3 linked regions of the Oreochromis niloticus genome follow. The protein of the gene in region 3 purifies or fractionates together with the protein of the main gene of each other region. This does not show direct contact. Links are inferred from orthologs where the notes say so. Each region holds a gene or a part of one and is shown on either strand. Other genes may lie near its edges.

Region 1 (8,330 bases), on a different chromosome or scaffold from region 3:
GTCTGGCTCAGCACTGGGGCTGTCACCAGGAACGTCAATCAGGGAGGGGCTCAGAGACGTCACCCTGGCTCAGCCGGAGAGCATCCGCAGCGACCTGGAGATGTCAGACACTCAGTCAGACGACATCGCAGAGCTGACGTCGGACGACTGCGACTCTCCTCACCCGAAAAGCTGTCACCCGGCGGCCGGCCAGCAGCCTCAGCCCCCCTCGTGCCGAGCTGTGAACCCCTCCACCGAAGGCCTTCACTGTCCTGCAGACAGCAACGTCATCCTCTACGTCTGAGAGAAAAGCAGCTCTCAGGATTGCACAGAAACAACCCCGAACATTTACATTTAAACTTGTCACAGCTTTTTTTTTTTCCTCGTGTCATCTCTCGTTTGCTGCTTTTGCGACTCACAGACACCGTCTTAAACACAGACAGCATCTGTTTACGTTGGTCTGTCTGTCTTCTCTTTCTACCTGCCAATCTACTCTCTGAGCAAATTGTCAGGGTTCTACCTCTGAGATTTATAAGATGATGATTTATGTTTACTCCTTGGTGCAAAATGCCTTGGCTACTTAAGCAAAAAAAAGAAAAAAGGAAAAAAAAAGAGAGAGCAAGAAAAAAAAACAAGAGGTACAAATTTTCCACGGGAACTGAAATTATGAAATACGGTGAAACGTCACCAAGCACAGCAGAGAGATGGTGATTGCTGGGAAAGCAGAGGAGGCTTGCCGAGGATGAGGAGGGTGTTTTTAAAAACGTGTGAATGAATGTGGACTTCGTACTCAGTTATTGTGGCTTTATTTTGACAGTTTTCCTCTATTTATATTCGGACGACCTTGAAATTGTATTATTTGCGGTGTGCATGAGTCTGCATGAGCCATTCCTTGTGTGGACGGTTGTAAAAGGGCGGCAAGTTTCTGTTACACTTGTGAAAGTTAAAGTTTACTTTGGAGGATGAAGCTGCACTTGAATCTCGCTTTCACTGCACAGAGGAGGAGAGGGAGGAGGAGGAGGAGGAGAATGGACATAGAGATTAAAAAAAATAAAAAATAAGGGTCACTGCTACAGAAGTAAACGACAGAGTTCTGACAATGCCATGACAGATCCTGGAAGTACTGTGAAAAGCACGGCGAGAAAAAAAAGACAGCCCAGTGTGAAGGTTTGTCTGCTTTCCACAAATCAGCACTAAACAAGCATTGAACATTTCATGAATAAAGCTCTGTGAAGCTTTTTTATAGGCAGGAATGTATCGTAAAAATGGAAAAACAAAAAAGTCCTGCTGGTTTCCTTTTTTTTTCAGTTACATTTATTTATAACCTACATTAATGCAGAAAGCGATACAGTTGCTTCCAGGCTGCCTATTCAATGATCAGTTGTCTCTATTACACATGCTAATGCGGCGAAGCAATTCCAGCTAACATTCTGCTAGCAGCTAGCTAACAGCAGAACGCCACGGCGTCAAAGCTGGCACAAAATAATATGAACTTTTTTGGGGGGTTTTTTACCTAAAAAGGATTAAATAACTTTATTAATCGGTAAGACTTCACCTTCACTTCACTTCAGACACTTGACCTGAAAAGGCGTTCTCCTGTCGCTGTCAGAACTCTGTCACCGTGTGGTTCTGAGGTATGTCACATGACCAAGTTAGTGTTTTACAATTGGCTGTCTGCCTGCCTTATCGACACTCGCTGACCAACACAACAGCACACACCCGTTTGGGAGGTTTTGGTTTCTGACGTGTTAACTGGCTGTCGGGCCCACTTGAATGTTGTGTGTTGTGCGTCTGTGTGAATGAACTCCCGATGAATGTATATGTGCGTCCCACTTTTATTTTATTTTATTTTTTTGAATGAGCACTTGTGCACTTTATCTGAATTATTGTATTTATCTTTTCTTTTTTTTTGCTATTCATCATCTGTTGCGATAAAGTGAGTTTACTTCAGTCTGTGGTACAACCAAAATAAATCACCTACCAGAGGGCCTTTTATGTTGGATGTAACTAAAGAAGAGTTTGGCTCCAAAAAAAAAACAAAAAAAATATATTCATTGTCATATTTGTCATTCAGTATTTTTAACTTCAATGACATTTAAGGTGTTTTTAATCAATTTTGTGATGAAAATACTGTAATTTTTTTGTTTCTTTTTTTTATATTCTGTAATTTATGTTGTTCTAATCATTCATACAAGTCATTGTGACTTTTGGAGCCAAACACTTTAAATACTGATGCCGATAAGCTTTTCTTAATCATAGCTTGACTTGTTTCTTAGCTTTGTATCACCTCTGTGCTTCTGTTTTCTAAACAAAAGAAGAAAAAAAAGAAAGAAAAACAAAAGGTTTCCCCATCAGGTTTTTCCTTGAACCTGTGAGGAATCAACCCGGGAGCCTTTTTCATCTCAGAGTAGCTTTATGGATTTAGCTGCTTATGTGATTTGGCAGTGCTTTGTTTGGTCTACACTTATCACTAGTTTTTGCCTGCCTGCCTCTGAGAAACCACATGAATGTACCACGGATGGAAACCCCAACTTCCTGAAAGAGTCTAAATGAGTGTTAAAGGATGGATATAGGTGGTCCTGATCTTATTTGAAAGGGTTAGCATTTATAGATAGCAATATTTACGTGTTATTATACTGTTTGTGTATTTCCTGTCACTGTTAAAAGCCCCGAAATTGTGTGGGGATGGACATGCAGGACTGTGAAAGACAACTTGTGGACCTTTGGGGACAAAATAAATAAACACAAACTGATGTTGCACCAATGCAGTGACTTGTTGTTGATCTGTTATGAATTAGAATCGATTAGAGCAAATGAACTTATTTTATAAATGTGTCAGACGTGAAATCACTAAAGAACTTTTGTGGCTTTTCTTAAGATTTACATATCAGACATAATAAAATATCATCTGATCCTCAGCAGGTCTTAAAATCATTAAATACAACTTCAAACAAGCAACACATGACATATTATATCCTGTCATTATTTATTTTATAAATTAAGCCAAAATGCAGAAACAGTGTGCAAATAAGCTCATGCTTGCTGCTACCATGTGACTAAGATAAGTACCCAGGTGCTGCTATTCAAATGCACTTGACTCTCTAACTTTGTCTCTGATATACTTGTTTCTAATCCTGTCCATTCTGATCAAGCCAACTATAATTTCACCATCTTCAGCTCTGGCACCTTGAGCTCCCCATCCTGCCTTTATATTGTCCAAATCGTAAATCGGGGATGTCAAATATAAGGCCCGGGGGCCAAACTCGGCCTGACGAAGACTCCAATCTGACCCACTGGACGGCTTTGAAAATTGTAAAGGAGGGCAGATTTCAGCCTTTATTTTAAGTTTTACAGCTTTTCTTGTTGATAAGGAGACGTAACCCACGCCCATTCCTACTACACTAAAGTAATTAAGCAACAGATCATTATCGGCTATAAAAAGTTCTGTTTTCCCACAATGAGTCCAAAGTTTCAAAAACGAGGAAATCTTCTGTGTATTTCCAGAAACTATAATTATAATTAAAGTGCAATCTGGGCAATGAGCTCCCATAACTATTTCTGTCATTTTATGCATTTATTTCTTACAATTTAAGCCTAAAGAGCTGTGCTGACACATTTATTTCATTTACCATATTTCTTTATTATGTAGAAAAACTAAGAAATACTGTTATACAGTTGTGTGGGGTTTTTTTCTCATATTAAGATAGCTCAGCTAATTCTCTAGTTAAACTTGCTTTTACTGACAGAAAGTTCAGTTTCACTGGTACGACCCACTTGGGCTGTAAGTTTGACGTCCCTGCTGTACATCACAGCAGGTCTCCCTCCCTTGAACCTTTGCTTTCACTCTTGCAGCTGTCTTTCTGTACAAATCACCCCTGAGACTCATCTCCATCGACTCCACCCTACACTTTCTTCTTCATCTCTCTTGTGCATTATTGGTTGCTTTGGATGATTGACCCCAGGTATTTAAACTCATCTACCTTCATCTACTCATTCTCCTTGCATCTCCTGTTATATCTGTCTTCCTCTCATTCATAGACACGTATGCTGTCTTGCTTCTAATGGCTTTCACTGTTCTTCTTCTCTCCAGAGCAAACCTCCACCTCTCCAGGCTCTCTTCCACCTGCTCCCTATTCTCAGTCCACGGTGCCTCCTGCCTGATCTTATCTGTCAGCCTGTCCCTCACCACTGCAAACCAAAATCTCACCCCCACCTTGAACTCATCTATAACTCTTACCACTCACCTGACCACTGTCTCACTGTCCTCATTCACATCCTGCACCAGCCTCACATATTTCTCTGCCACTCCTTACTTCCTTATGCAGCTTCATTCTCTCTTGTAACCCTATCATATGCTTTATCTAGAGCCACAGAGAAACAGTGTAACTTCTCATAATCTTCTCTATACTTCTCTCAAAAGCAACATTGCATTAGGATTATTATCTTTATTATACTTTATCATGTGCTAATATTATACTTTATCAAATTCATCGAATTTATTCTGAAAAATCGCTAAACTTGCTGATTCAACACAGCTTTGTTAAATTGCTAACTAAAATGTAACTGTACTTTTGAGGCCACACCAGCAGATGGCAGTGGTGCAAAAGAAGGGCAGATGTGTTTCCACCCCAGTCGATCACTTTACGGCAGTGTTTTTGTTCAGCAGCCGTAAAGCGGGGCGTGCAGAGTCGGAGGAAGGTTAAAACGCCTCGAAGAAAACACGGTAAATACAAACATTTAACGAGAATTAGCGACACGTAAGCAGGCTGTGGACGTGTTTGCTACATCGCAGATTTTATATGAAGTTTGAAAATTGCGTTAGTGCGCAAATATTGTGAAATAAACGCGGCCTGTGATTAGCATGGCTGGCTGTCATTGAAGGATAATTTCAACAGCAGTTTATATTCACAAAATGTGACGGATTCACTTCAACAGCCAGAACTACTTCATACATTTGTTATCGTTAATTACAGATACGAAGATTTTAATTTATTTTATTTTTTAATATTTTTAAAATATGAAGTTATAATCGTTCGTTTGTCGTTCACTAACAGTCCAGATTTTTTCCATGGCTCTGTGGAGATGTAAGGATGATTAGTCTGCTTGTAGTGTAGGCAGTGAGTCTGAGCTGCTTTACTCAGCAAAAGTCTGTTTATTTTCCTGTAGTTTATTAAACCAGATTTTTTTAAAAAGTTTGAGCCACACTACATTTATAATTTTAAGGTGGGCAGGGTGGAGTGACTGGAGATGAATGTCGGGGGTGATTTGTGATAGAAAGAGTGAAGAGGACCGTTTGCAAGATGTAGTGAGACCTGCTGTGTGTGACTTGAAGATGGTGACAGGTGGTCGAGTTGAAGATGTTAAGTTTAGAAATGAGTACATCAGAGGGACAGATCAGTTTGATCAGTCTGGACAGAGAAGCAAGGCTGAGATGGTTTGGGCATGTGCAGAGAAGAGACACTGGATTTATTGGTCAAAGAATGTTGAAAATGGCGCTCCCAGGCAGGAAGAGAAGACATGTAGAGGAGGTTGCTAGAGGTAGGGTGAGAGAGAGAGATAATCCACTGTTTAAAACTTGACGAAACACTAAAAGTTAAGTAGACAGCTTTTTATTTTGATGTTGTTGATATAGAAATAAAAATTCTCAAATTACTTGAATTACTGTCCTCCTTTAAATGGGGCTGTACTTCATGGTAGTGCTCTTATAGTGGCAGATGTTTAAAGACTACAGTGGCCAGAAGAAGTTTTTTTTGATTGTTCTTCTGCTTTTTATTATTTCTTGTGTAGAGAAAAAAAAATACATTTCAGAATGTCTTGAACTACATTTAAAAACTCATGAGTGCTCAGTTTTTATTAAAATCCTTACTTCTGCCTTTATAGATATAAAATACTGTAGATCCAAGTACCTGTATACTTATACTGATATAAGCTAATTAGTGATTACAGTTACTGATATGTATAGAGTTCTGTTAGACCAGCTTACAAATTCCAGTTTTAATTTGTTAAGTTTCATTTTATATTAAAAACTTAAAATTTGCCCTGTCCTGCCTCACTTTAATCACTTTCGGTCCTGTGCCTTTCCTCGTTCAGCATCATGCCGTTCGTGGACCTGCAGTCGCGGCTCGGTATCAACTTGGACCGCTGGCTGCTGCTGCAGAGCGGAGAGCAGCCCAACAAGCGGGCGGCACGCTGCCACGCCTTCGAGAAGGAGTGGATCGAATGTTCTCATGGCATCGGGCAGACCCGTGCCAAGAAGGAGTGCCAGCTGGAGTTTGAGGACTTCTACGAGTGCATGCACAGGCAGAAGACGGTAATCTGACTCCTCATACTCGACTGCTTCTGTACAAATTGCACTGGTTTAAATAATGGCTGCTGTATTATCAGAAATAACAGTTAGATACTAAATTAATCTAATTTTAGAGGATAGTTGTAATGAGCTAGAACTGTAAGTTATGTCTAGTTCCATTAAGAGGATGAATCTTCTCTCAAACTGTTAAAAATTAACACATCACCCGATCTCACCTCCTCCACACCACACTTAGCATGACAGCCCATGTGTTGTTGGAACAGAGCTCTTTCACTGCAGTTTATCTGTATATTGGGGGGAAAAAAATCAATGTGCTGTTAGTCAATTATGCTTGCTGTTTTTCAAAATTAGAAATACTAATTTATTTATTTTAACAGCCTCTGTGTGTGCTGCTAACCTGTTTATAGCACACATTTATTCACAGAGCCACCATGAAAACAAGTTCAGACACAAACAAGTGTTTTCATATTTATCGGTTGTAAAACAATTAAATGTGAATGTGTAAGGCAGCATTCAGTATCTTTTGAAAATGATTCGAGTCAGGTTGATACAGCTCCTTATTTAAGAACAGTTCCCATTGATTTCTTCCTCTATGAATATTGCAGCTTTCAGCCATTTAAATAAAACATGAAGTTGCTGATCAACTCCTTGCTATCAAAGTTGCATCAATAAGAACATAATTTCTTCACACTTCCAGCTTTAATTTAAGGGGTTTAACAAAACTATGGCATTAAATGGCTCTCACAGCTCTCACTTTGGATGTTCACGTCAAATCTTTGGTTCAGTCCTGCTTTTATCACTTAAGAAACATTTCCAAACTAAGCCCCATTGTTGCTCGCACTGAACTGGAGATTGTCATTCATGCTTTCATGTCATCAAGACTGGACTGCTGTAATTCACTGTTTACATGTTTAAACAAAATTTCTCTGGAGCGTCTGCAGATTGTTCAAAACGCTGCAGCAAGACTTCTGACCAAAACATCGAAGTACTCACATGTGACACCGTTGCTAATACAGCTGCATTGGCTCCCCGTCGAATTCAGAGTCCACTTAAAGATTCTGGTACTGACTTATAGAGGTCTCTTAAGTCATGTGACCAGGGTCTACTTATCATTCATCATACAAAGCTGAGAACTAAGGGAGACAGAGCTTTTGCCACGGTGGCTCCCAGACTGTGGAACTCTCTCCCACTGAGCATAAGATCTCTGGACTCAGTAGCTTCTTTCAAAAAACAACTAAAAACACATCTTTTTAGAATTGCATTTTGTTAACTGTTGTCTGTTTTGTTTTATACTTTGTTATCCTTGTGTGAAGCACTTTGTGATCTTTCATCTATAGAAAGGTGCCATATAAATAAAGTTTTACTTACTTAATTCAACAAACCAGCCTATTTTGTCTCAGTATTTGACATGTTGGCATCTCTGTTAACCTTTGTAGCATTAAATGACTTGATTCTCATGCAGAGTTTGAATAATAAGAAAACTATTTAAAAAAGTGAAAGAAAAACTAGTGTCCATGTCAAATCTGCAAAGTAGTGTAGTTAAACTGAAGTCAGCATGTCTGACAGAGTGGAGGAGTCAGCAGAGGACAGACTGACAGCTTTGGGTGGAAGTGCAGCAGCAGCACAAAGTTCAGACTCTTGCTCTTTGCTTGTTAGCCATGTGTCATCATTTGAAAACATGACGGAGCAGGACGAAGTGCTGATTCAAGATGCATGTCAGCTTCGGCCTGAAGGTTTCACGTCAGATTTGCTTCCACTGAGGACATGTTTTAAAGATTACCTGTGCAGGATCTTTATGCCAAATTTTAACATCAGCATTCATTAAAACAGGCCGTTTGAGATGTTAGAACATCACTCAGAGGAATGCCTGCATCTCTGCTGAGTGCATGTGGACAGGAAGCTGCTGCTTTTACAGAACCGTGGTCGGGACTGTAGAGCCAGTGGAGCTAAAGCTTGTGGTGTTTAACAGTGACACATGGTGCAAGGAGTAAAAGATGGTGGCAGAAGAACTATATTTTTTTACTTGGAACTGAAAGGTGACACA
Region 2 (8,220 bases), on a different chromosome or scaffold from region 3:
AAATTTGTCCCATTTTCCATCTGGCATGTTATATATTACATTTTTAGTCCCATTTAGTATCTAACCAATACAAAACCTTAATATGCGTCCCTCCTCTTTAAGATAAAGACACAATGAGGTTTGTTAAAGACTGGCTCCTGTGATTTTAGGTCAATATTTACACCTGGACACCAGCACCTAGGCTACTGTACAGGAAGCCAAGCGGTCATAGCGAATAAAACAGGCCAGGATATTTATTGTACAACCGTGAGCTCCCGGGCAAACTAGTGGGAAAGAAGTAAGAAAGTTCCCAAGTCAAGAGTGGCCAACAGGATGAGGTAATTACGTAGGTTGGAGAGGCGAAGGGGGAGGGGAGACCTGTTGCAAATAAGCGTCTCCAGACTAAACAAAAGAATCCAGGGCTGCCTGCTCCTTTGTAGCGTTTCAAAAGTTTCTGCTCGCAAACAGCGACTTTGGCGCAAACTTTCCACCAGCCGAAATACGTCGCTTCCACAGAAAGGCCAGAAAAAAGACATTTTAACCCGAGAAATACGACAGTTTTTCTAAGTTTGAACAACTTGTAAGAGGGTTCTTTTGTGTGTGTGTGCGCGAGCGAGCGAGCTGCACCACGAGGTCCATGAATGTAACAAGGCGAGAGCAAGTTCCCACAATGAGGTCAGGATGAACATTAGCCTACATTTGGATTTTGGTCATATTTTCAAGGCGCTGGGGGCTGTTTCCGTTCGCTGTTCGTGACTAAAAAGATACAAAATATCGAGTTGGGGTTTTTTTTTTTTAAAGCTTACAGGCTGCCAAAATGTAACAACCCCTGAAGTCACAACAGTCGCACAACTTTTGACTAGTATCGACTATCACCACTTATCAAGAAACAAAAAAACTTCTTCACAAAAGTAGCTTAAATGAGGTTTCCACCCAAACAGAAAAAAAGCGAAAGCGTCTTTTAAATCATTCTGAAAGTTGTCCCAGTTTATACCGCGACTAGGACAACAACACACATGGCGACACAATCGTGCGTTAGCCTATTGTGTGAAAACTTGAATAAAGCACATTTAGATAACCTAAAACGGTGGCTAAACCTTGCTATTGTCGACTTTTGACATCGCGCCAACACATGGCAGAAAAAGCCCCCCTGTCACGTCTGGAAAGGAAACAATAGACTGCATGGTTTGCATATGAGGGAAACGGTTCTGTTACTCATTCTTTAACGCCGTCTCCGTCTAAAGTCGTTTCTTTTTTCTTCCCTTCTACTTTAATGTTATAAAAAAAATCCCACCTACCCTTTTTGGTCTTCATCTTGAAAAATGCCCGCTTATTCCTCGGCAAGCGGAGAAGACAAATTCTCTGTCAGAGCTGTGTTTTTCCCCCTAGATATCCCCAGCGTGTATCCGAAATCTCGAAAATCCTTGTTCATTAAAAAAACAATGCTTCTTTTCTCCCGTTTTAGATGTTCTTCTCTCTTCTAGTCGTCCTTCTTTGGAGACTTGAGGTGGCAGGAGAGGGGGGGTTGTGGGTTACCTGAGATCTCTGCGTCCCTTTCTGCTCAAAGCCCCTTTTCTCATTGACTGTGTGTTTGATCCTGAAACTGGGTGACAGCTATCTTTGACAGCTGCGTGACTAAACGCAAAGATCCTCCCACCACCAGTGGAGAACAGGAAAAATCTCTGACATCAGCATGGCTTGTTCCACTGACATGAATACAGTCTTGCTGAGCTTTAACGGCTGCAGACCCTACTAATAAAGTGAATATATACATACATATACATATATATACATATATATATATTATACATACATATGTGTGTGTGTATGCAGAAAGCGTTGTTTAGGCGGGCAAGCAAAACGACAACAATAGCAGACTGGGGGAAAGCACTGCGGACCTCGTGGTAACACCTACAGATTAAAAATAACTAAACTAACCGCAGTAATTTAAAACATATATATAGCACATTATTGCTACAGGCTATGCCGCATATTTCCGAATGAGCGTCGGTGTGTTTTTGTGGTGCAAGCTTCATCGCCTTATCACAGTCTGTGGTTTATCACCTTTCATATCGCTTGTTTACATCGTGAAGAATTACCTTGACGTACTTCCAACAGTAATTCTTCTGCATGCGAGTGCTTTTTAACAATGTGGCTTCGTATAGGCTGCTGCAGTGTGTTACAATAGGGGGCTCGTGTTGTGTTTATGGTAATAGCAGCAAATCTCGTGTTTATACTACTGTGCATCCCCCTCCTCCTCCTCCTCCAGTGTTGTCACTGTAGTAGCCCATTCTTCTGTATCCCTATAGATACGCGTGAAACGTGTTTCTTATGCGATATCGATGTCACCCCGATTGAATTGTAAACATTATATAAGGAAAAGCTGCCGTAATTTCTCACAGGAATGAGGAAATGCTTAAAAATACAGTGTGGACATGGGTGTAGCTGCGGGATATATTGATCTAACCTTGCAGCAGCTGGAGGTTAGTGCACCAGCTCGGCTTACTAAAGACAACAGCAGCACTGCGAAGAAAACGATCAATGCCTTCATTTGTATGCGGTGCACAACCATGCGACAGCTGCTGTAGCATCGTTTCTTTGCATGCATTTGTTCCAGACATGCGTTCAAGTGCTCTTTGCGGAAGCTAAATGTCGCCTCCGCGTGCGCACAAGCGGAACTGTACGTGAATGCAACGCGGCGTGCAGACACGAGGTCCTCGGGGTCCCTCTGGTGGTGATTTAATTGCACTGCAATTCAGGCGAAAATAAGGAAGGAAAGAAATTGCTTTAAATGTGGAAATGTTATATAGTCAAAAAAAAAAAAAAAGAATTTCCACTGATTTTACAATAAATACAATGTACTTATATTTACCTACAAATAATTAGCGCTAGATACTCTAGAATAAGGGTGTGATGATTAAAAGCTTTTACAAAAGAGAAGAAATAATTGTAATATAAACAATTTTAAGTAGTGTGTAATTTCTGGGTGTTTTAGTGGAAAAACCAACAAAATTTCCACAGCTTACATCGTAAATACTCTGTACTTTTAGGCACGCAGGCCGTATTGTGTACTGGCTTTACTTTGACTTGTTACATTTCTATTATGCATTACATTGGTGTGCATATTCGACAAGTCCTCTTGTATTACATGTGACAATGTGATGAAGACTATTTCTCCCGTTCCTAAATAAAATTAAACACTAGCAAACACTGCAGGACGTCTGCCCATGTGATCTTATTATGATGAAGCAAAATCAAACCTTATTTTTTTTCTTGGAAATAATGTTCAACATACAACCAGAACTGTGAGAAAACAAAACAAGAAAAATGTATTAATGTGAAAGAAGAAAGACTCCCAAAGAATAATTTGGGTATTATTTATATTAAACACAAGAGAAATGACAATAAACTTTTCTTATTAGCTATGAACACTTTTATTTATGCTTTTCAGTTTTATTTCTCTTTGGCTCTTTTTCGTATTTTCTCTTTTCTGCTTTTTGGCCCTTTTATGATGAAGATGAATATGAGGAGAAACAGGACAGGTCATTGGCCCTTCTCTGATGCATCTTAAAATACCTGGAAATTATGTACTACATAAAATTACTTAGAGTATAATTTGTGTCTCCTTTCGTGTCAAATACACTAGCCAAAATGAATGTTTAATGTGTAATGATAGTATAATGATTGATGTAAATACTTGAATTATTACCTCCTTACTCTGTTGTATTTGTAGGTTAATGGAATTACATTGTAATTTCAGGTCAAATATATGGAAAGTCAAGGGGAATTTCACCCTTAGTCACAGGCTGTATTATAAAGTGTTATTATGTTTCAATATACTATTACAGCATATCAAAACAAAACAAAACAAAAATAAACAGTCAACTTTACTGATTATTAATGTTAATGTTTTGTTTTGTTTTTGTTGCTATAAATGAACACCCACTCACTGAAGTAATATCTTTATTAAGCTCTCACATTCTTATCAAACACAAGCAGCGTGAGTGTGTTTTCCAGCTCAGTCACTGTTAAAAATAGAGACGAGTAAGTTTGGCAGGCCAAAGCCACTACTGTCACATATTAGGTATGCTTCCCATCAGTTGTGACATTAAAATAGATCAAATGATTTCAAAACAATATTTATTGATTGGCTGATTTTTGTAATTAATAATAGCAGTAATATTAATAGTCATTTAGTCTGATAGACTAGCTGTACTTATGACTAATTTTGAACATTGAGCATTTCATGCTTTCTGTATAATCAACACATTTTGAGTCATTTCTTTTTTTAATATTTACACTTACTATGACGGGAATTCAGTGGTGATGTAAGACGACAAATAAAGCTCAGTGTTTGTTTTATACTTTCCAGACCGAGATAACACTTCACTTGTTTAATGAATGTTTTTATGTTTATTTTGAAGGATTAATAACAAGAGCCACATAACTCTGTTTAGAGGGAAAACAAATGTAAAACGCTGTGTTTAAAGAATAGACACGATAATTAGCTGAGCGGTAGCTCCGCTGCTTTACTGTTGTGTCACTCGACTCATTTGACTGTGACGCATCAAATCCTTCACATTTGTCCACGAGCGTCGCGGCTTCAGTCAGGACGACCGTGGAGAGCTGTGTGAAGTTACAGACAGCCACAGCTGTACAGGAAACTGGTGGGTTTTTCTTTCAAAATAAGATTGTTGTGGTTCAAATATGGTTCACAAAATGATGAGGCTCATTTTGTAATCTGGTAAATTGTTCCCATATCCGGGATTTATGGCGGACTGTGTTTTTCTTTTGTTTCAGTTCATTCGCAATAAATCAATAAATAAAAATCACAGGCCTAGTTACACTAAAACTTTGCGAACATCTGCTTTAATTAACGCTTTGATATTCTAAAGCGAGTAATTGGATGTGCTGTTTTTATTTAGATTACCATGTTATTTGACGTGATCATTTTATTTCAAGTCATCGTGTTAGTAAAGAGGAAGAACGTGTATTTGATGATTAGGTGGCTATTTGAATGAAAGCAACACCACAATTGAATTTTTTGAAAGTAGATTAAAACCCAGTAAACATGTGGTATTCCAAGTGAACTAGTTATGAGACTTCTTAAAACAGAAAAATAAAAAAGTTCACTATTTTGTAAGGATTTTTTTGCACTTTAAAGTTAAAGCATCTTTTCCTGTTTATCAGCATGAAACATTTTTTAAAAGTTTGTTTTTTTAAAGAAACTTTTGCTCATTGCTGTAAAACAGTAAAACATGATCTCGCATAACGAAGGCGCACGTGTGCGTAAACCATGAATTTTATTTTGAAATAATTCAACTGAAAAGTGTTTTTTGGTTTAGCTTCGTCGGACTTGATATTGTCGAAGAGGACTGGGTCCTGTTACAGTTTGGAGTCTAAAATTAGGGAGGCACCCCAACTGCAAATGACGCAAGAGGGCTAAACTGGACAGTCTAGTCGTCTCTGTGTGTCAATGACAGCGGGACTCAGGGCATGGAGACCTTCCCTACAACTTTGCTGTTGTTGATGACATGGAGAGTATTTTTAGCTATTGTTGTCATCTTTCCGTAACAGCCCAGCCGCGCCGTTCAGTATAAAGGACTCTTTCAAAATGCAGTTGTACAACAGTGTGCTGACACACTACCCGAGGTCGTCTCGCAAAGTTACAATAACTTTGTCGACCGCTTCTGCGCGTTTGAACGGGGCAAGTTCCTCTGAGGCTGACAGGCCGGGATTTACTCAACCAGACGCAACTTCGGCGACCAACAGTGATCCGGTGAGCGAGTCTGTGTCTTCCGCAAACATGCCTGCCTTGTCGTGTTACGAAGCTTCAACCATGAGGCCAATTTACTTCACCTCGACTGCTGAAATTTTAATCCGGAGACCTGATGGAGTGGAGAGGTCTGTGCCTGTGCATGTTATGAGGGAGTCCAAAGTCAAACCACCTTCCCCAGACTCTCATAACGGTGAAACTTTACTCTGTAATGACTGCGACTCTGATGTGATAGTGGACTTGATGGATCATTTGAGCAATGGGACAGATGAGCTTTTCCCAGACTGCCCAGAATTCACTGGAAATCAGCTTACCAACAGCAACAACACCAGTGGACCCAGAATAGAAGAATACAAGAGGATGGTGGAAACTTCAGGTGGGGATGATGGAATTTCACTGACTATTACCCCCTTCAGAAGCAAAGAGTGGGCCTCACTGAAAGACGAGGAGCTCGTTCCCCCCAAGGCAGTACAGCCTAAGGGTCTCATAAAAGAAGACTTTAGTTTAATGAACACGGCCAAAGCTGCTCCAGCATCAGAAGAGAGACGGGCGTTTGAGCTCAGTGTTCTGCAGGAGTCCCCTCCACAGAGAGTCCAGGAGAGAGGGGAGATCAACGACAAAGTCGCCCGATACCTGGCTGAAGTGGAAAAGCAAAATAAGTACCTCCAGGAGAGGCACAAATACAGGTATCAAATCATTCCAGATGGCAACTGTCTGTACAGGGCTGTGTCTAAAGCCACATACGGGGACCAGTCGAGACATGCAGAGCTGAGGGAGCAGACGGTGCACCACATCGCTGACCACCTTGATGAATTCAACCCTATCATTGAAGAGGATGTGGGGGAATTCCTGATCAATGCAGCGCAGGACGGCGCTTGGGCCGGTTACCCCGAGCTTCTCGCCATGAGCCAGATGCTGAATGTCAACATCCACCTCACAACAGGGGGCAGCTTGGAGAGTCCCACTGTCTCCACCATGGTGCACTTTCTTGGAGAGGAGGATCCTTCCAAACCGGCTATCTGGCTGAGTTGGCTGAGCAACGGTCACTATGACGTTCTCTTGGACAGGTGTCTGCCCAACCCAGAGTATGAGGACTGGTGCCGAAACTCGCAGATGCAAAAGAAACGGGACGAGGAACTGGCAAAGTCGATGGCAGCCTCATTATCCAAAATGTACATTGAGCAGAATGGGTCTGTGTAAATGAAATACAGCGCATTACAGAGGAATAGAGATGAATGGTTCTGCTTTGTTTCTACGTGCTTTAAATTATTATTTTTTAAGGATTTTTTAAGGAGCAAAAAGACGTGCAGTGCACATACTTTGGTTCATGTCTATGCCAGCGTTTTGAAATTAGCACTAGTTGTCTCCGAAAGAGTTTGACAGTGTGTGAGTCTGTTCTTGATAGTTTGGGTGATGCTGACACGAGTGAAATTCTCTAATGCCGTTCAGATGTGGCTGAGTGCTTTTGGAGTGTACTATTTTTATTTGCCCTCTCTCAGCTGACCAGTTATTATTATTTTTTTGTCGTGCTTCTCATGCTTTGGCAACTGCCCAATATTTTCAGACAAAGAGAAATCTGGTTTGCATTTTCCATGTGTTTAGCTACTCATTTGCACAAAATTCCTCTAAGAGTAGTTCACAGTTGGTTTGTGTCTGCGAGAATGATTCAACGGTTCATTTTCCATTATTCCAGTACTTTTTAGACATTTGACAAAGAATTTCAAAATAAAGTTAAGAAAAAACTAACTTGCAGTGGCTTCATTTTTAATTTACATGCTTGTTGTCCCGCTATTTGTTTATCGCCTACATTTTCATAAATGTGTTATTCAGCTTTAGCGATATCCACTGTTTCATCTTAGGTGTAAGGCCGTCCATAACCACCACATCACCACCACAGTTCATGCTGCAGTCATCCTCCACTCACCGGTGTCCTAAAGTGAAAAGTGATGTTGGGAATTTATTACATGTAGTGACCCTGCAGCCTCTCATTCAGGTCAGGCTGCAGAACTCGGTGTATTAAGGGACCACGGCTTCAATACACAGAGTACAAGGGAATGTGCTCTGTGTACTGAGCTACGTTAAAGCTTAAGTAAAGGGTGCACAGTCACGGTATAGGCCAAAATGTCATTTCTGCTGTAATTGTTTTGTTTTTTTTCAAACTGTAGATTCTGCTTGATTTCCTCCAAACTATATAAAAGGAAAGCAAACCACCCAAATACAGCTTGCAAATACTAAAAGCTAATCACAACATATGGATGTATTCATATTGTAATAATACTTTCCTTTTTGGCATTTCACATTAATGTCTGCTGTTCTGAATACACTCACCAGTCACATCATTAGCTACATCTGTTCAGATGCTCACGGATACAAATATCTAATTATCAGCACCTGAGTGCATTTAGGCATCTAGACATGATCAAAAACCTGCTGAAGTTCAAACTGAGCATCAGAATGGGTAGAAG
Region 3 (8,786 bases):
AAAGTTGTCTTATTAACCAACATTTCTAAAAGCTGCTCACCGGGAGGCTGAGGCTGGATGGGTGTGACTGATTCTTTGGCAGCTGCTTTTTGTGATCTGGACGAAAGTTCAGTGATACGCGCCTGATATCTTTGCTGGTCTCCTTTCATAGTATGGTACGCCTGTAAAAAACAGAAAAATGGACTAAGTTTAGTCACTGACAACTTCAATGATTGCGTCATTTTGTCAAGCTGTCCAATTTTGCCAGTCATATCTGGTGTCAACGGTTATCTTTCAGTCATGAGTATGAGCAAACAGGCAGGGAGGATTTTGTGGATGCAAGCTGAAAAATGAGTGCATCCACTTATCAACACTGATTTCCAAATGGAAAAATCTATCTTTACCTCCAGGTTGAGGCCTTTAAACTAGGACTGGGTGATATAGCCATGCAACCATTTTCTTAATTACATGCACAATCTGGGATATGCTGGGGCAGTGGAGTATATCCCATCTCACAGAGGGTATCAGGCGAGTTACAAGCCAAACAGGTCACCAGTCTATCGCAGAGCTGGCACAGAGACAGACAACTGCACCCACGCGTGCGTGCTCATATCGACACCTACAGACAAATTAAAATCACTAAATAACCCAACATGCATGTCTTTGGACTGTGGGAGGGAGCCAGAGTACCCACAGAGAACCCACACTGGTCGAGAAAATGCAAACTCCACACAGGAAGGGCCCAGCTGGCTGTCAGAATCTGCTGGAGGTGACAGGCTTAATCACTACACTCCCATCACGGTTGTTATACTGATTTATTTATTTATTTATTTTTAAATCTATCCATATAACTGCTCCGTTATTCAAACAAGCTTAAGTAAAGCCAACAACTAATAACTTATAGTCCTAAAGTATACATTAACTTAATGCATCTGTGAAAACAATCAAAAGGTCTGATTTGTTAAGATGACACACTACAAAAACATGTTCTTTTCAAAAACACCAGACTCTGTTGACAAAAACAACAACTTTTATTTCACAGAAAACAAAAGTTGGAGGTCACACTGCGTGAATTAAGTGTTGTAATGTGTTATGTGGGATCAAAACTCATCGACTAAAAATTCAAAGTCTCACAATAACACAAACTAACAAAGCAGCCATTGCAGCAGTGGTCAAATAACTCCTGTCTTGTGTGAAGTAAAATTACTATTTTTGTTAATGGAATCTGGTGGAGAGTAACAGCTTCATTTCTTTTTCAGTGAAAGCTGTACTTTCAGGTGGCTAAAATTCATGTCGCTGCTGACTGTGTCCACAGCAGTACATGGATTTTAGTTTTTACTCCTGTGGATCTGAACCTCATACAGGCTTACTTCAAAGAAACTGAACCATCCCTACCTAACAGAACATAAACCAGCGGCTTTTAACACTGCCTATGAAATAATGTGCTTGTGTGAATGGGTGTGAATGGATGTTAATGGGTGAATGTGGCATGTTGTATAAAGTAGAGATGGCACGATACCACTTTTTTATGTCCGATACCGATACCGATATCATAAATTTGGATATCTGCCGATACCGATATGAATCCGATATTGTGTGTTTTTCAATCAATAAAACTGTTTTTTTTAATATCTTGCTGCATTTTGTATAAGTTCATACTCAAGTTTAAATAAACAACAACACTAAAGCTATTCTGTTATACCTGTATGTAAAAAATACACTGCACCCAAAATATTTCATAGTTCAGCAACACTGATCAATCTAATAAACCTTACCTAACTTAAACCTACTCCATCCTCCCTATTCTGGTATTTTAAAGAGTACTTAGCAGAAATATTAAGCAACCTAACTAATAGGGTTGCAAACTCCCAGCAAAAAAAAAAAAAAAAAAAAAAAAAAATAGGGAACCACCCACCCTCCACCTCATGATGCTTAATTGATGTAATCAACTTTAATTTGATGCAGGGTGAAAAAAAATGCACAGAAACAAATTATTTTTCAAGAATAATTAAATAGATTCAACATCTTTCTTCAACAGAATTGCAGAATTCACAGATGGTACCTTCCCAAAGGAAAAAGTACTATAGCTTACTAGGGTATATAGACTTAACAGTTACTATATATAGTAATGGACTTCTATACATTTTACATCAGATTAAAACTTTGGGTGTAAGATTCAGATAATTATTTATTAAAAGCTACGTATTTTAAATGAGAATAAGAAAGAAAAGTATGTCTTTGTGCCCCCTTTTCCCTGTTCGGACCGATACCGATACGTAATATCGGATCGGTCCATCTCTAGTATAAAGCGGTTTGAGTGTTCTGTCAGAGTAGAAAACCGCTATATAATAATCAGTCCATTTACCATATAAAATACAGAGATATGCAGGCCTTGTAAATATCTTGTATTTGCATTCAGCATAAAAATATAGATTTGTTTTTCTTTTGTCCATATTGCTCAGCCCTTAATGTTCAATTTACAGAAATAAACCCCAAGGGGGGAAAATCATTGCTCCAATTAATAAATTTGCACACTCTCTCTATGATGATAAACTAAGCTTACTCACATATGCCACGCCACCAATGGAGGCTGCTCCAACCAGGAGGGCATACTTTAGATTATCCCCACCTCCCCCTGGCAGCCCACTGGACATGTGAGCTGTGGGTACGTGTGTTGGTATTCTGCCATTGTTCAAACCTGAAACAGTAAACAAACACACACATGATTAAACACCGATCAAAGCTACAGCACTCCTAATTATGTTCACAAACGTTACTAAATCAGGGTTCAGTCCTGCTTCTAATAAAAAAAAATTGCCAAGTAGCTACCTGTTTAATACACGCTTAATAGATCTGTGGATGTTGACAGTGGAAAAGGACTGAGGAAATATATGCTCCTGTGCTTGCCCTCATCACACCTCTGGGGTTTAGGAAAGCGCCTTAAATTACTTTTCCATAAAATAGAGGCAATGGCAAACCTGTCTGATTTGTGTTGCAGGTGTTTTTCCACTCTAAGAGTAATAAACATAACGTGACATATTATTATGAAGAACAATGATCATCAATGTACATTCTAGCAACCTACATACTGCACAGCACTGGGCTTATCCTTTCTGGGTCATCAGAGACTGCAAGACCCCATGATTCAAATCCAACACTGGGCCCTTGCATACGCTGCAAAGCGTAAACGGGCACAGAACATGGTGTAACACCTGTACCAGCACTAGACACGTGAAAAACATGCTTGCTGGCGTTATCAGTTAACGTTGGCGCTTCGATCAATGAAATGAGATCCAGTTTAAGTTAGCTCGTTACTGAAATGGCATCTTGCGTCGTTAACGTTCGCTAATTAGCTGAGTTAGCTTTCTAATAACCATCCAAAGGTCGCTGAAGTTTACGTGCGCTAAGCTAACAGGGCTACCCCCCTGTGGGTTAATGTATTACTGCTGTGTAATATCATGCTCCAGGCAGTGCATGATCAAATCGAGGTCAGCTAACAGGAAGACAAGTTACTGTAACTAGATACTTACCTGCTTTTCTCACATTCTGCCGGCACAGAGTTGATGAAGTTCTAGCCAAAGGAGCGAGCTTTTTCCACACAGTCCTACATTTCAGCATTGTGGCTCAGCTCCCGGTTTACTCGCAGACTTGTCGGATAAAAACACAAGCCGGTTTACCCTTAATTTAATTCCAACAGCCTGCAGACACTGACAACTAGCTGCACGGCACCACACACCAAGGCCAGGGACAGGTCATACGTTTCTGGGGAATGACGGGTAATTGTAAAGACTGTAAAGACGCCTAAGATTGGTCGCCCCTAAAAAAGAAGAAGAAGAAAGATGGCGTCGCTCCGGACATGAATGACCGCAACTCTGTTATCGCAAGTAGCAGCTACACTGAACTCTTTCATTCAAGGCTCTTTGGTAACTGCTCGAACCCCCTTCTTGTTCCTTTCTTAAAACAACTGCAGTCAGAGTTTACTGCTGCCCCCTGCAGGTCATTTAAAGTAATACTACAGTAAAATGTTGAAAAACGGTTTTAAGTTATGAAAACACAAAATGAGGTTGTGTATTCATGCAAAACACATTTAAACATATTAATGAATATCATTTATATATTATTAACGCAGTTAATGACTTAAAGAATTTCAAGAAATAAAAATCTTTTTAATATAATGTGCTGTAATGAATGTATGAAGGTTTATTGTAAGTTATATAAATAAATCTTCATTGAATTTTTACTGTCATAATTTACGAGTGGTAGGCTAGATTTCTAGAAATTAGTTTTATCACCCTCTGGTGGTTGAATAGAATAGAATAGAATAGAATAGAATAGAATAGAATAGCCCTTTATTGTCACTGTTCAACGAAATTGTGGGTGCTCCACGCCAACTGTGCCAAAATAAAATATAAATAGTAAGACAGCAGGAATGAATAACAAACAGGAGAAATATGTACAAAAATAAGAGTAAGGTACAGATTAGATAACAAGTTGGAAGTAGTGCAAAGAAAAAGATTTGGTCTGAATACTGTCTGTGTATGAGTGGCCTAAGTGAAGACTGTTACTCAGATTGGTGGGTGAGTAGGCGGGGGCAAGGGTGGGTGTGAGGAGATAGTGTTTGTTTACAGTCCGAATGGCCCAGGGCAAGAAGCTGTTTGTGAGTCTGGAGGTGTAGGACCTGATTGACCAGAGGGCAGCGGATCAAACAGGTGGTGGGTGGGGTGCAAGGGTTGACGTGTGATAGCCCTGGTTTTCCTGAGACAGGAGGATCTGGCAATGGCCTCCATTTTTGGGCAGTGTTAATTACAGTTCTGGCCTTCCTGTTCTCAGTTGTGGTCCCTATGTACCAAACACCCGGGCAGTAGGAGAGCATGCTGAGGAGCAGTGGATGGCCAGCAGCAGCTTCTGGTCCAGGTTGTTCTTCCTCAGGACACGGAGGAAGTGCAGCTGCTGCTGGGGCTTCTTTTCCAGGGCATTGGTGTTGTGGGTCCAGGTGAGTAAAATGGATTTATTCTGTTTATAGGAATGCTATAGTCAGCCATCAGCTACATAATGGTGATTTTGAAAGACTTTGTCATTTGCACATTTCAAAGCTGGCTGGTAAATTATAAGGCAAGGAAATACCTTTGTGTTGGATAATAAGGATTGATGTACTTCCTTTTTTTGAGAAGAAAGCCTAAATAAGCAATGGTGGGTTGCTCTTTTTACTGGCAAGAGAAGTTACTACTTCCCTAATATAATAAAAGATCATTTAGTAAAAAACGAGCCTCTGTTGCTTTGTTTGTATGTATGTGTGTGTATGTAACATAATAAAGTCAGAACATTTCACACAAATTACAGGCCTTCTAAATATAACCCTGCTACCACAAATACAAATACACAAATGTCAAAAAAGATATGGTGGTACTTTATAACATAGCTTGCAATGTAAAGTGTAATTTCCTAATGTGTAGCATGTTTTTTGATTTCAGATTGCAATTTTCCCCACTCAAAATGACCAGTTTAGCTAGATTGTCTTCTTAGGTAGCATCCTCTTTTTTCCTGCCATGCACCATCAATGTTAATAATAATATTTAGTAAGATTAATACAACTACTGCACATGTGCATTCAAAATGACAACCCTAGGTGAACCACGGGAATTGATGTATGATAATAAACTGATTGCATAAAACCTTTTAAAAAAGTTATGACATGAATACTGCTGCATCACAATCCTGCTGTATTCATGTATTTACCAATATGTTGCAGAGGTATTTTTTACAGTTTTGTTTTTTTTTAATGTATTTTGGCCACTGAGGATCAGTATTTCTTGATTTTTATGCAGTAACATCACAGTTTTACACAGGTTGTGGTTTGGTGATGCCATGGAAGTGCACATTGAGTGGGATTCTCTTCAGCCCTGATCCTCCTTAACCCCAGAAGCTGCTCTGAAACTTCATTAGAGGAGGACATGATCCCCTTTTCTGTCATTTCACCTGTTTAAATTCAGGAACACTTTGAAAATGGAAAGAACTAAAGAAATTCCAAACTCTTAAAAGTCCCAGATGCATTTTCCAGCATCAGTTTAATATGATGGACACTTTTATGAGGAGTTCACAGCTGTTTGTGAAGCTTGGTAAAATATACCCTATTGTTTTGTGATAGCCTTATTTGTGTCATTTTAATTTAGGATATATTTCAATATGATATCAATAGATTTGATAGTACTGTAAATTGAAAGTTCCCTTTGGCTTCATGTGCTCAGAGTGTCTCATTCTCTTACTCCTCCTGCTTAAGACTCTGGTCCTAGGTGTGAATATTATTGTTGCATGTTCGGATATCCTCTTCTTCAAGACCCAGATAATGATTCTAGGTGTAAATCCCAACAAGCTTTGCCCAGGTTATCTAAAAGGAGAGGCACTCAGCGAGCGAATATCAGATCGAAATAAATCTGTGAAAACACAAGGAGGAAACACTTCATCTCAGGCTCATGTGACAATCACAGCCGCAGAGGAAATTTATTCTTGTAAAAACACTGATAAACTTCAAAGCTTTATTCCTTTTTAGATCATAACCAGCAGGAGTAGAGGCAGACACACACAGGATTATTTATTGACTGATTTTTATTCACTTATGATGATGAAGATTATTATATATTATTACTCTTCATTTCAAAGGTAAGGAAAGGACAAAGAAGAAGAGATAGAGGGATAATGAAGGTAGTAAGAGAGTAAGAGAAGGTGAAGTGGAGGGCCAGGGGAGAGAAGGTGGTAGAGGGAGGATGGAGAAGGGAGGATGAAAGGGGGGAGAAACAGGAAGTGGATTAAAGGTGGAGTGGTGAAGGTAGAGAAGATAAAGGGAAAGTGGAAAAAGGGGAGAGGAAGAGGAAGAGGAAGCTATCGCTCTCCCTGAGTTGAACCATCAGTATCCTGTAAGTTTGTGTAACTAGTAGATGTTTTTTCTTTTGGAAGCAGCTCTTGTTCTTGACTTTCTTGTCCTGCTCGTTTGTCTTCTTTTTCACCTGCTTCTTCTTCTTCTTCCCCCATCCTTCTGTGACAGTTCAGTGTCTACCATCTGTCTTTATCCCCATCATGTCAATCGTCTCATCTTTGAGTGCTTTACTGACCTTTAACAATTAATTTTCCAGTCCCCTTGTCTTCTCTTCCAGTGCTTTCTGGACTTCCAACAATTCCTTCTTTGCATTTTGAATTTCTTTTTTTGCCTCTTGCGTTGCCCTTTTCTCTTCCTTTAGCACTCTCTGGACTTCCAACAAGTCTTTACGTTTTCAAGTTTCTTCTCTGTTTTGTGCATTTTTGCTTTTTCTCCTCTTTCAGTGATTTTCAGGTTTGTTCTTAATCCTCAGCTTATCCAACTCCTCTTTGTAGGATGCTGTGACTTTGCTGAGTTTGTCACCTTGTTCTCCTCCAGGTTACTGGTTGGTCTTTTGGCCTGCAGACTTTAATGGTCTGTGCTGCTCTTTGTGCATGCTATCTAGAGAAGTTCAGAGCAACAGATGGGGTTTCTGGTTTTAGTCTCTGTTGAGATGCTGGTACTCCTCTCTCCGAGATGATTGCAAACAGTCTTGGACAAAAATAGAAGCATAATAACCAAACACAAGAGAAAAACATAAAATTGTTGGAATAGTGGATACAGAGGAAAACTGAAGTTACTGAGGTAACTGTAGTTCTGTGGATTCCTGGATGACTGCCAGTGAAAGTAAACAAAGTGGATGTGTGTTCTCACGCGCTATGCAGGTTGAGATCTCATAAACAAAGTCACGTGTATGACATGTGGACTACCTTTGCTCATATGCTGTAATGCTTTGAATTCTGACTGTAAAGGCCTTTACGCACTGCAAGTGTAAAATCTGTGCAAAAATTTCATGTGTTAAAAATATGTTTTGGACTCATGTATTCTTATATATTCTCATGTATTCTTAATGCAGCCATTCACCCCGACCAAGTAATTTCACTAGACAAATCTGCAGCATTAAAATAATACTATTTTTACCTTAGACACTGCTCTGGGTCATTTGGCTCTATGCAATGATTTCTCTGCTTCCTCAGATGTGTTGCCCACTCTGCCAGCAAGACCTCAAACTGATGCCGGATGTCAGTGATACAGCTTCAACTCCTGGATCAAACCATGAAATTCTCTCTGCTGCTGTCTTCTTTGACAACTGGATGAACCCAGAATCTCAGTTTTTTCCTTTTCTTGTTTGGAAACGAGAAAAGTGCTCATCAGCACTTGATGTCAACTTCATTTTTTTCACAGTGAGTTTTTGAGGATACATTTTCTGCAGAAACACAGCACGTTTGGTGCATGTGTGTAATAAATTTGCATCCAAACAAAACTAGACTACTAAACTAGACAACATATATACATTCCACCACTCAGTGCTCTCAGAATATTAGCAGAGGTTCCTCTTAACAATCTCTGTTCAAACACAGCTAGCTATTCGAAGATAATCATTTGAATTAAGTGTTTTGGAGCAGGGAAGCACCTAAAAATCTGAAACAAGCAGCCCCAAAGACCATAATTTAGGATTAATACCCTAAGGAGAGTGGTCTAACTACATAATATTGCCCTGAGGCAAGCGCTATTTTGTCTAGGATTATGCTTTCCACATCGAGGAACCTGCTAGGGACCGAGTAAATTTCATCATCAGACGGTGAGCATGTGGCTCCCTGCAGGTCTATATGTATATATATTTAGAAAATATATTTATTTCAACTTTAACACGTAAAAAAAAAACGATATTAGCATTAGCATTTGCAGCACCTGAAAGCACCCTGCAGGTCAACTGTCAAACTCTCTTCTTCTCCTC

Evidence for each region.
Region 1: the proteins of aifm1 (region 3) and ndufs5 purify together in Homo sapiens (affinity purification with mass spectrometry; 3 studies listed by BioGRID and IntAct, with this or other methods). This does not show direct contact. The link is inferred for Oreochromis niloticus from reciprocal best matches to the Homo sapiens genes AIFM1 and NDUFS5.
Region 2: the proteins of aifm1 (region 3) and otud1 purify together in Homo sapiens (affinity purification with mass spectrometry; 3 studies listed by BioGRID, with this or other methods). This does not show direct contact. The link is inferred for Oreochromis niloticus from reciprocal best matches to the Homo sapiens genes AIFM1 and OTUD1.

Annotation. Positions count from the first base shown.
Region 1 is NC_031985.2:10,022,100-10,030,429, reverse strand, and holds the start of ndufs5 (NADH dehydrogenase [ubiquinone] iron-sulfur protein 5), read left to right. Parts: upstream 1-4,568; 5' UTR 4,569-4,702; intron 4,703-6,069; 5' UTR 6,070-6,073; coding exon 6,074-6,289; intron 6,290-8,330. Other genes in the region: E3 ubiquitin-protein ligase RNF19B, read left to right, coding at 1-283. UniProt on the Homo sapiens protein: Accessory subunit of the mitochondrial membrane respiratory chain NADH dehydrogenase (Complex I), that is believed not to be involved in catalysis. Complex I functions in the transfer of electrons from NADH to the respiratory chain.
Region 2 is NC_031974.2:17,051,684-17,059,903, forward strand, and holds otud1 (OTU domain-containing protein 1), read left to right. Parts: upstream 1-4,548; 5' UTR 4,549-4,646; intron 4,647-5,324; 5' UTR 5,325-5,593; coding exon 5,594-6,955; 3' UTR 6,956-7,501; downstream 7,502-8,220. UniProt on the Homo sapiens protein: Deubiquitinating enzyme that specifically hydrolyzes 'Lys-63'-linked polyubiquitin to monoubiquitin.
Region 3 is NC_031975.2:7,203,428-7,212,213, reverse strand, and holds the start of aifm1 (apoptosis-inducing factor 1, mitochondrial), read right to left. Parts: upstream 3,885-8,786; 5' UTR 3,598-3,884; coding exon 3,510-3,597; intron 2,678-3,509; coding exon 2,547-2,677; intron 162-2,546; coding exon 41-161; intron 1-40. UniProt on the Homo sapiens protein: Functions both as NADH oxidoreductase and as regulator of apoptosis.